Linked DNA regions of Oryzias latipes. The protein of the gene in region 2 purifies or fractionates together with the protein of the main gene of each other region. This does not show direct contact. Links are inferred from orthologs where the notes say so. Each region holds a gene or a part of one and is shown on either strand. Other genes may lie near its edges.

Region 1 (5,742 bases), on a different chromosome or scaffold from region 2:
GGTGATTCATTCTGACGCTGACAGAGAAACCAAATTGCATAACCGGCGGCGAACGCTTTCCCCTAATCTGAGGGCTTGGGAGGGAAACACGCAGGGTGGTTTTGCTGTTTCTGGTGGTTTTTTTGAGTATCGGCTGTCCTCTCCTGGTTCAAGGCCGTGGTGATGGAGAAACCTTAAGGTCCCACTCTGATGGAAAACGGGGTTTTGGCATGTTTAGTTGGGCATTTTTTTGATGATGGAGGACGTACAGAAAGTTGAGCTTAAAATCTGAATGTTTCTCGATTCAAATCATTGTGAGTCAGGAGCAGACGACAAAATGCCGTTTGAAAAACATCAGATTTGTGACGCAGCAAATACGCTCAAGCTCCCTGCTGCAGTCCCGCCCACAACTCAAAGGCAAATTTCTGAGGAACTACTGCCGCTCTGCAGAAACTAGGTCTTAGAAAATGAGTGATTTAGGCTAAAAACATCATTGACAACACTTTAACAATGGATCAAAACCTGACCGGAGTGGTCAAGTCTGGAGGTTTTGAGCTCATCTCCTCGCTTTGCGCCCACTGTCATTAACCACGCAAGTGCACATGAACGCCATGCCCCCTTCCATCAGGGTTTTTTTTGTATGTGTGCAAGGGTGCAGCGTCCATCTGACCAAACACGACGCTCATTAGCATTTCAGCTGCAGGTGGCCTTTTTGCATGATTGCATGAAATGAAGTCAAAAGCCTGCAGTTGATCCCTTGGCTCCATGGAAACCGGCTCCTGAAGTTATTTATGAGCCGCGGTCGTCATGCCTTTCGCAGGTGGCCAGTCCGAATCTGTCTTTTGGGGGGGGGGAGCTGCGTCAGGGCTTGAAGCTGAGACAGATTCAGCCACCATACCTGTCAGAGGGCGGGCAGCGGGGGCCCTTTGGGGTGGCCAGGTGGATGAAGTTGACAGGATTTGCGACTTAGCAGAAGTCTGCGTCGTCTCTGGGTTGCGTCTGTTGGTCTTTAGGAGATTAAGCGCCATCACTGCAGCCGGGTCAATAAATAGCTGGAGACTTTTACTTGCGTAGGTTGTGGTTATAAATGTACAAATGGAGTTAATTTGACATGTAAAGCCTGATGCATCAGCGCTCTGTGATTCGGATTTGCCCCCCTCCTCCTGTTGCGTCCACATTTATTTAGTCTGCGGGGGTAAAAATGGGACTGTGCTATGACGACCAACCTGTGCAAGTTCGGGTGTTCTGTAATCCCACCTGTGCGCTGAAAGATGAGGCGGCGACTTTCAGATCACCAGCGCAGAGGACCAGAGCTGCCGCCGCGCTGCGCTGCACATCTCAGGGCCGCGTCCCCCCCTCCCACTGAGGCCAGCGCGAGAAACCCACAACTCCCCCTTTCTTGGCTTGAAGTCCTTGAGCGGCGGAGGCGACTGCAGGTGTTTTTCTAATCTGCTCTCTCCCTTTCTCCTTCATTTCAGGTGGCCTTTGGCGCCCAGAGCAACACTTCTCTGGAGGCCCTGAATCGGAGCACGAGAAACGTTGTTTTGCTGCCTTTCTCACTCTGCCTCTTCATCGCTTGGTCCCATCTGTTGAGGCGCACGCCAAGGCTGTTTCATAACCAGAGATTTGTCTCGAGTGACACTTTTTGATCCGGATCGTCCAGGATTCTGGATTCTCTGTTTGCCTTCTTTGTTTTGCTCTTTTAGTAAAACCTGTAAGGAGGTTTTTTTTTGTTTTCCAAGAAGAAAAACAACTTTTTGCTTAATTTTCCTTCAATTTTCCCAAATCGGCTTCAACTATGGTTTACTTGTGTTCACATAGTAGTCCCACTTGAACAGAAGCCAATCTAGTTCCGCTGCGCCAGCCTCGTCCTACACTAGTATGAGTTATGATGGCTGCACATCAACGCCCAGCAGCAGCACTCAGGGGAGAGTGTCGGGTGCCCACCTCAAAGACCAGGACGGAGACCCCCAGGGCCTGAGCCGGCAGAAGGCCGACCAGCCGGGCCCCCATGGCTCCCCACAGGAGCGGGGACACGCAGACGACGGGGTGTCGTCCATGGAAGGAGGGTCCAGGTCCGGAGACCAGCGGGGACCGAGCTCGGACGAGATGGAGGGGATGTCCAGCGGGAACGACTCCGGCGAGAGGGAGAGCCACCCGCGCTCCTGCGGACACCAGTCCTCACGGAGCTCCCACAGCTCCTCAAACGGGAAGGACTCCGGCTTGATGCTGGAGAGCAACAAGAGGTAGGAGCTTGACCTATGACCCTCCCGTTTCCTGTCAACTCACACAAAATATCTTTTTGAAACTTTAAGAAGTTCCCGCCTGCTTTAGGTACCACTGTTCCGCTTCATTTTTCTGAATACATTTTTTCCATTGTGAAAAAAAAAGCCTATTAAAAACACCGTTTTCATTGACGCACCACAACAGATTCACGGGTTTGTGCTCAACCACTTCCAGAAGCAACGTGAATGGCAGAAACCTCAGGGTTCTTTTGTGGAGTCGGAAGTTGAGTCAAAGCGAATCGTATAATCTGCTGGCGTAGCATCAATGCGATGTTTCGGATCAAAACACTTTATCTCCTGCAACTGAAACTGCCTTCTGCAGCACATAGTCAGATGTTTCCAGGAAGCGCCAGTCTGATCTGATTTACCTTTGGTATTTGTCTGCAACAACCTCCTGAAAGAATGTTTGGTCCTTCCTCCTTTCAGCTCCAACTCTCAGAGCCTGTCCCCCCCCGGGGGCTCCCTGGCCTACAGCCTGCTGTCCACCAGCTCTGAGCACGACCCCCCCTCCACCTCCGGCTGCAGCAGCGACCAGTCGGCGAGGCTCCAGACGCAGAAGGAGCTCATGAAGGCCATCAAGGAGCTGAAGCTCCGGCTGCCGGCCGAGCGCAAGGGCAAAGGTCACTCCAGCACTCTGAGCGCGCTCAAATACGCTCTCCAGTGCGTCCGACAAGTCCGAGGTACCCCCCCCCCCCCTTTTTTTTTTTTTTATTCTTTTAAAATTCACCCAATGGTGTTCGTGCATCTGCTGACATGCTTATCTGCAGCCAATAAGGAGTACTACCACCAGTGGAGTGTGGAGGAGTGTCATGGCTGCAGCCTGGACTTGTCTGCCTTCACGGTTGAAGAGCTCGACAACATCACCTCAGAGTACACCCTGAAAAACACGGTGAGTGTGCAGGCCGCACCCCTAAACGCAGCTTTACGTCCGGCGCTGACGTCCCCCGCGTCTCCTGTTGCAGGACACCTTCACCATGGCCGTGTCCTTCCTGTCGGGGAGAGTCGTGTACGTGTCGCCGCAGGGCTCGTCCCTGCTGCGCTGCAAGCCCGAGTGTCTGCAGGGGACTATTTTTTCCGAGCTCCTGGCTCCCCAAGACGTCAGCACCTTCTACAGCAGCACGGCGCCCTGCCGCCTGCCCCCCTGGGCTTCCTGCATCGGCTCGGGTGAGTGTCGGGAGGGCATTGCGGCGTCTCTACTCCCCCCTCTGTATCGTCCACTGACTTGTCTGCGCTCCCCCCGCAGCCTCCCCTCCCGCCGACTGCACTCAGGAGAAGTCCATGTTCTGTCGGATCAGCGCCGACCGCGTACAGGGCGGGGAAATGCGCTACTACTCCTTCCGCCTGACGCCCTACCAGCTCACCCTCCGAGATTCGGACGCCGCAGAGCCGCAGCCCTGCTGCCTGCTCATCGCAGAGAGAGTCCACTCAGGATACGAAGGTATTGGAAAACTTTCCTTTGATGTTTTGACCCAAGGAGGCACTACAACCAATACCTCTAAACCCCGCCCCCTTTTAGACAGACTGAAGTTTTAACACAAAGATTTTGTAAGAAGGGCAACCCACTTCTCCCCTTTTTATATCTGATTGAACAGTCGGTTTAATCCAAAACAGTTTTGCAAGTTGTAAGAGACAGTGAGTAAGTTCTTGTTGCTAGGATACGATGGCGTTCACCGGCAGATGCAATGATTCAAGGGTAAATTTAGAAATGACAGAAAAAAGCTGCTCAGGCCCAGAGTGCCCCTAAACACAGAAGGAGGTCATACTTTTCCATTTATTAATATATTTAAATCATCGAGTAAAGGGTAAACAATATTAGCTTGTTACCGTGGCAACCGTGCCCGACAGAGGGAGTGAGATTGGACAGATTGCATCTCTCTGGGTTCATCTAGAACAGCAGGTTTCTCTGAATATGAATAAAGTACACACACACAAAAAATAGGTGCAAACAGAATGTCTCTCATGTATGGATGCTGTGCTATTGCTCATGTCTGCCTCGTTTCCCATCAGCCCCCCGGATCCCCCCGGACAAAAGGATCTTCACCACCAGCCACACTCCCAGCTGCCTCTTCCAGGAAGTTGACGAGAGGTCAGTTACCCTGACTCTGTTGCCACGGTTACGGCTGTGTTGCAATCTATCCGGAGAGTTTGGAACTGGCAAACGGCATGAGGCAACCTGTTCAGCCAAATGTGTTTGTTTGTCTTGTTTTTAAAGATCGCTGAACATCCGTGTTCTTTCACCGGAAAAATGTCAAAAACTTGTTAAACTCAGATTATTCCAGATTATTCTAATGAGACAAAACTCCATGTCATTTAAGCGATTACTTATCTGATTTTTCAGAGCTGTGCCGCTGTTGGGTTACCTGCCCCAAGACCTGGTGGGGACCCCAATCCTGCTCTACATCCACCCGGAGGATCGACCCACCATGGTCGCCATCCACGAAAAGAGTGAGTCGCTTTATTAGCCCCTTCTGGCTGTAGCCATGTGACCGGCTCACAAAAAACACGACGGAACCAAGTTTTAACTCCGGAGGTGTTGCCGGCGACATCTAAATACCGTAATCTTTGGACCGTTTGCCCTGACGTGGAGAAAAGCGGTTTTTCATATCAGATATGCAGCACTTCTCTGCTGTTGCATATCGGTCCACAGCTGCTTTTCTCCACTTCAGAAGCTTCCGGGAGTTTGTCCGTTTACGTCCGTAAACGGCAGAAAAGTTGCTGTAGTGGAAAGAATGTCGACACAGGCGCTAAAGTTCCGGTGTTAAACGGTGAGATGTGTCTGGACCCGCGCCCATCTCCAGAAAACCCTGAAGTACTGTGTCTGAACGCTGCACTGTGGTCTGTCTTTAGTCTTTCAGTTCGCAGGGCAGCCGTTTGACTATTCACCTTTACGGATGTGCGCCCGCAACGGCGAGTATCTGACCATCGACACCAGCTGGTCGTCCTTCGTGAATCCCTGGAGCAGAAAGGTGGCTTTCGTCATCGGACGCCACAAAGTCCGAACGTAAGACCGTCTTTTGGTTCGTTGGACAAACCGGTGGTCAGCAGGTGTATGAGTATAACCCTGAAGGTTGTTTCTGCTCCGACCTGCAGGAGTCCTCTGAACGAAGACGTGTTCACGCCACAGCCGGGCTACGAGACCCAGGTCACCACGCCGGACATCGTCCAGCTCAGCGAGCAGATCCACCGTGTCCTGGTGCAGCCGGTGCACAGCAGCAGCTCCCAGGGTTACAGCTCGCTGGGCTCCAGCGGCTCTCGGGGTTCCCGCCGTTCCCAGCAGCACCACCACAGTGCCTCCGCAACGTCGTCCAGCGACAGCAACGGCCCCGCCATGGAAGAAGCTGCGGCCGCCTCATATAAACCCGTGAGTCTGAGGCGGAGTGGCCGCTCGGCGTCGAGTCCTCTGCAGCGTCCTGACTCTTTCTAATATGCTTTTCCAGATGACCTTCCAGCAGATCTGCAAAGACGTCCACATGGTCAA
Region 2 (5,734 bases):
CACATCAAACCTACAGGAACCTGTGGAGTCAGGACAAGAAGGGCCCAAAATCTGGACTCTGTGAAAAACAACGTGAAGTCCAGAGAAAATATTGTTCCTTTTTAGACGATACAGATTAAAGCAATCTCCTTCTTATCTTTGACTTCTCTATTTTGTTTATTTGTGACAAACCGTGACGTCCTTCTTTTTCCAAAACGCATCGTGATAAAGACCTTGAATTTAAAAAGAGACATTTCTTCACTGTGACGACAGAAACGGTCAACGTCCACAGAAGACGTTCTTGATTAGATCAAGACCAAAACCTGGAGCTGCAGACGATGACATGTGACCGACGGGAACGTATGCAGTAAACATGGGGGGAACGTGAGGCACACAGGAGACCCCCCCCCTGCTCCGGATGCCATTATTGAAAAGGTGAAAGGGCACGCTAAACAAGGTCTTCAGAGACCCTCCCCCAAATTGCAAAAGAAAAGTGACCACCGTGAGGAAGCACAGCACTCGTCGTCACGGTGACGTCAGTTTGACCACAGAAACAGCCGTAAACCGTCATCAGTGATGGTGATCGGTGAGTCAGTGCGTGTGACGAGCCCGCTGGCCGTTAGCGCTCTGCCTCGCCGTTAAACAAACCCCTCCCTGCAGAACATTCTCATGTTACCAGCATACCACAGAGACGGTATCTGTCGGACAGGCTCCCTCCTGTCAGACGGGTTACAGGCTCCGGCTGCAGGTTGACGTTACAAAACACACGTTTACAGTTGGTTCAGAAAGACTCCATTGTTCAAGCATTTCATTTCTCAAACCAGATTACATAAGTCGGCTTCTCTGACACACTAGTTCTGATCTAATTTCACTTGGAGACCAAAACTCAAAGTCTGAAAAGATACAAGGCAATAACTACATGTACTCTATCATATTATTCTATAAAGCACGATAGCAGAGTGACTTCTATTGAGCTGTTTTAGTCTGGCATGAACGTCGTGTTGAGACAACCACTCCTCCAAAACAAACTAATGTTCTTACAGTGCCGTCCTGCCTCTTTTCTGATCTTATGGATTTACATTGATAGATTTGATCCAGATATTCAGCTGAAGGTAGGACAAGGATATCTGGAGGACAAGCCGTACACGGGACACCCTAGATGTACCCAGTGTAAATATAACAGAAGGAATATTTTGATTGATGGCAGAGAAATGGTCTAATGGGGTGTAGTATGAGGACATAACAGCCCCTCCCTCAGTACACAGTGCATACTTGTATGTGAAGCACTTTAAAATATTCTAGTTATTAAAAAAATGTGATCCAAAGCTGGTAATCAGTTGTTCAGTGTGAAGCGTCGTTATGCAGTAAACATGTCAACAGGTAAAACCATTAAAGTAGCTGGGAATTCAAAGAGACACCAGCTTTATAACTAATAATCAGTCACCACAGACCAAAAGCTATCCAACTACAACTCACCAGAAAAATGCATGCATAGTTAAGAACTTCACTTCCCAGCATGCCCTGCTGCTGTCACAAAAGGCAGAATCAGGCTGTTGGTTCTAGTTCAAATCTAGAGCTTTATGAAAGAATGAAGATTATAGAGATGCATTTTTAAACGTTTTTAAACCCGGAGGTCAGGTTAGTCATCTCTCTGGGGGCAGAAGACAAAAACCATAAAGTGGTTATGCAAGCAGCTGGCTCCACGCCATCAGGCCCGGCGGTCACGTGGAAGGAGGGCTGGATACAATTATTTACTCTCCTGGGTCCTGTTTCTGCCTGCAGAGCCCTGTCCTCTTCCAACGTTAAGGTGTGTTTTCAGTGGATTAACCTCAAGCAGAGCCCGCCTTCACAGGCTGATGGCAGCCTGGTGTATTTAATGGAGTTTGTAGTTAAACCATGATATCCACACGTGTTATTACACTTTAATGATAGTCATCAGTTTGAGCTCATCAAGTGAGGTGTGTAACGTTTGAAAGAATCCGTCAAAACTCTGCTGTGTTCACACCTGAACTGGGCTGAAAGCTAACAGCCCATTACTATAGCTCCATAACACAACAGAAGAGCAGCAAAGCCAGTGGGGGTTTTCTATAGAACCACCCACACTAGATCTTCAGCAGCATGTTCCTGATACAAAAGGCAACATTGCCCTCAGAACAGAAGTACAACTAAGGTAGAAGTGTGCTGATTGGCTGCTGATCATCATCACCGCAGAAATAAAAACAAGACATGTCAGCTTCTTCCTGCAGATAATCCGCTGTGGCTCTTTGTTTACTGCCTGTTCCTCTTTGCAGATTTGTTGTCTGGTACTATGAAGGGGAAATCATAAACGCTGAACATTACTAATGTCTGCAAATCAAAAGGGCCACACATAAAGGCTCAAACGGATAAACTTCTTACTGAGAAGGTTTCTGGAATGACCTCCACATGTCTACGGTGGAGTCAACAGTCACAACAACATTTTTACCTCCATGGAGGCTTTTCCTTGACCTCACTGTGAAATGTTCTGGAGTCACTAAAAAGCAGGAACCAGACGTAAACGGAAGGAGCTTTGAAATGCCAACGTATGAAAGTCACGGTCATGTGCTGCTTCTCCAACACCCATCTGATTTTATTTGGATACAGTCAAATGTGTGGAGGAGAATAACTGACAGTCAGATACGTCCACATTATATCGTAATGTCTTTTCTGAGTGGAGATCTTCAGCTGTGAAAATGGTCTCGATCCAAAACTCAGGATTGTTTTTTTATTTACACAGTTTTATTGTTAAGAGCTGAATGTCAGACTCCAGCTATGCTGTTGCTGCTGAATACAAGTACAACTAGAAACATAATCCAATCCCAGACTGTAACCATTAGCAAACAATACGATGTCATAGATGGGATCAGGAAACAGACAGACAGCTGGATGTAAAGAAACCTTTGCCTGGTGGACGTTGGGCCTTCCTGATTATATCTGGACAGACAGACAGGACGCTTCCTTATAGAGTAAATGTGTTTCAGGTAAATCCACAACAGAAACACAAGAACACATGCATAAATGAACGGAAGTGTTTCGTTTAAGGACATGATGAAGCCTCGGTTTCTGAGTCCTTCAGAAACACACAGACAGACAGACAGACGGACAGACGGACAGACGGACAGACAGGGCCTCGTCCCAGAACTGCGTCCTTATAACCGGTCCAGTTCCACCATCGGTACGCTAAGCCGTCACAAAACGTCAAAGACCAAATCTTCAGAGTTTAACAGGAAGAATTCTGAACATCTCGGACTAAATGCTGCTTCAGACAACAGCCGAGTCTGCTAGCCTCTTAGCTAATGCTGCTAACAGCTGATCGTCGCTGAGCCGTTCAGGACACCCCGGAAAGAAGTCAGACCAGCCGCCCGACTCCCCTGATCGGCAGGTAGGGACCAGACCACGGCGTTTCCGTCACAACATACCCAGGTAGATGTCTCCAAACGAGCCGCTTCCAATTTTTCTGCCCAGTCTGTATCGGTTTCCAACTCTTAACTCCATGGTGAAGGTTCTGTGGTCAACCAGCTCTCTCTGAAAACGTTCAGACCTAAAGCACTTGGCAGTAAATCAAATAAAAAACAAAGAAAAGCGGGAACGAGCAGCGGCGGCGGGTTTCTGCCCAAAATCCGTTCCCCGGTGAGCAGTATGTATCCGGATGAAGACGGCTTCCAACAACAATCTTTCGCCTTCGCTTTTAAAATGTTACAAACGTCATATCGTGACAATACAGCGCTTTCTAGAAAGCTTAAAGTGTCCACGTTATGCTCGTGATGTCTTTTAGGTCGATAAAAGCTAAATTTCCGAGGATGACAACGGATTTTGGACAGAGTCTGGCGTCGCTGTGGGTCTCCCGCGTCCTGTGGCGCTGCTGTGAGCAGAACTCAGCAATCTGCTCCGCTCTGACGTCACTTCCGGTCCAGAGGAGCGGGGGGGGGGGGGCAGTTTGAAAGGTGTCGAGTTCCAAGCAGACAGCAGCAAAACAGCGGTTTGAATATAAGACACTGAAATAATTATAGAGATGACAAAATATGATTTTAATGCAACAATTGATACACAGATTATACAGATTAAAGTATTCTGTAATCACACTTTGAAATTAAAACAGGAACTATTTTTGTTACATTGATAAATAAATATTTTGATCTGAAAATGCATTTGAATTTTTTTTTTACTGCTTCTTCTTTTTCATTCTGCTGCTGCCTTTAGGGGGCGCCAAAGAAAATCATCGGACTCCGTCCAACCTTCTCTGCATCCTCCTCTCCATCCATGACCCTCCTCTTTGGTCTTCCTCTCTTTCCTGGCAGCTCCAGCCTCAGCATCCTTTCACCATCATCATCACTGTTCTTCCTCTTAAACATCTCCATCTGCTTGGATCTCCAGAACATCTGTGATCCGATCCTCTGATGGATCCATTCCTGATCCATCCTGGTCCCACAGAGAACCTCAGCATCTTCCTCTCTGCTGCCTCCAGCTCTTCCTCCTGACTCTGTGTCTGAACCGGGGGTCTCCACCGTGAGCCTCACGCGGCGCTTTTATTCCACTATTGTGGCTCTCTGACTTTGAAGAAAAATACAAACGATTTGAATAAATGTTGGCATTTATTTTAAGATTTTTTAACTGAGGTGAACTTCCATTAGCAGAATAAACTCTACTTATATTAAACCACTGCTGGGAGTTGCCATACTAAGAGGCTTGTGTGTCTAACCTCGTCTCTCAGTCTGTCCATCACCAAAGAAACAAGAAGGCGCTCAAAGCTGATCCTTGGCGTAGTCCCACCTCCATCTTCTCTTCTCTTGTCTCCCGGTTGTTCTGAAGATCTCCAACATTCTTCTCTGTCCCTGCAGACTTCTTCATCCAAACCACAGCTCTGCTCTCGTTTTCTGAAAAGACAACCAAACCACACTATTCCTACTTCAGGTTAGAAAATCTTTTTACTTTTGTTGGTTTAATGAGGCGATTGATTTTCCTAAATCCCATTGCTTTTACTGGCTGCATTTTTTATACATTTGTAATAGATTTTATTAAAATGTTCATGAATTACTTGATTAGAAATCCTATTTATTAGATGTTCTTTTTTATTTATACTGAAATTGATCACAGATTGTACTATAAGACACTCCTAGTCTTCCACACGTCACCTACAGTCAAAGAAGCTCATCCTGTCATGTTGCCTTGCATGAATGAGCTGTAGCATTTTACATCAGAATCTGGAAATGCATGTTAATAAACAGGGTTAACCTTCTACATAGTTCTTTACAATACCTTAAGCCTCAAAGGTTAATGAGTCAAGTGACCAACAAAAAAAGAAAAAAAAGTGTAAAAAGTAAATTCAGATGAGTACATAACACCTATGACTCATACTGCGTTATTAGAATTACATTAAGTTTCAGTTTAAATTGTATTTAACATGAAGCTAATTAAACTCCAATTAAAAATAAAGTTTTCTTTAAAACCCCTCCAAAACCAGACCAGCCACCTCTAATGTCAAAAATTAAAATTATACATTAAAAGGATGGTGTTAAAAAGCTCACTGTAATTGAAATGAAAGAAAAAAACGACAACAAAGAACTTAGAAACACTTTTAAAATCATGATTATGTTTTTTTTCCAGCAAAGTTTAGGATTTTTGTTTATATGCAGTTTTTTCCCCTCAAAACGGTGCGTTTTCGTTTTCACTAAATGTTCTTCACAGTAAAAGTGAACCTCTTCTTTCCTGCTTTTATTCTGAAGGAAAAACCGGAAAC

Evidence for each region.
Region 1: the proteins of csnk1d (region 2) and per1 purify together in Homo sapiens (affinity purification with mass spectrometry; 4 studies listed by BioGRID and IntAct, counting the BioPlex papers as one, with this or other methods). This does not show direct contact. The link is inferred for Oryzias latipes from reciprocal best matches to the Homo sapiens genes CSNK1D and PER1.

Annotation. Positions count from the first base shown.
Region 1 is NC_019876.2:15,134,170-15,139,911, reverse strand, and holds the start of per1 (period circadian protein homolog 1), read left to right. Parts: upstream 1-1,860; coding exon 1,861-2,225; intron 2,226-2,690; coding exon 2,691-2,944; intron 2,945-3,031; coding exon 3,032-3,153; intron 3,154-3,226; coding exon 3,227-3,428; intron 3,429-3,507; coding exon 3,508-3,702; intron 3,703-4,271; coding exon 4,272-4,350; intron 4,351-4,602; coding exon 4,603-4,709; intron 4,710-5,111; coding exon 5,112-5,265; intron 5,266-5,354; coding exon 5,355-5,625; intron 5,626-5,701; coding exon 5,702-5,742. UniProt on the Homo sapiens protein: Transcriptional repressor which forms a core component of the circadian clock.
Region 2 is NC_019866.2:24,955,641-24,961,374, forward strand, and holds the start of csnk1d (casein kinase I), read right to left. Parts: upstream 3,885-5,734; 5' UTR 3,493-3,884; coding exon 3,417-3,492; exon of another isoform or gene 1-3,416. UniProt on the Homo sapiens protein: Essential serine/threonine-protein kinase that regulates diverse cellular growth and survival processes including Wnt signaling, DNA repair and circadian rhythms. It can phosphorylate a large number of proteins.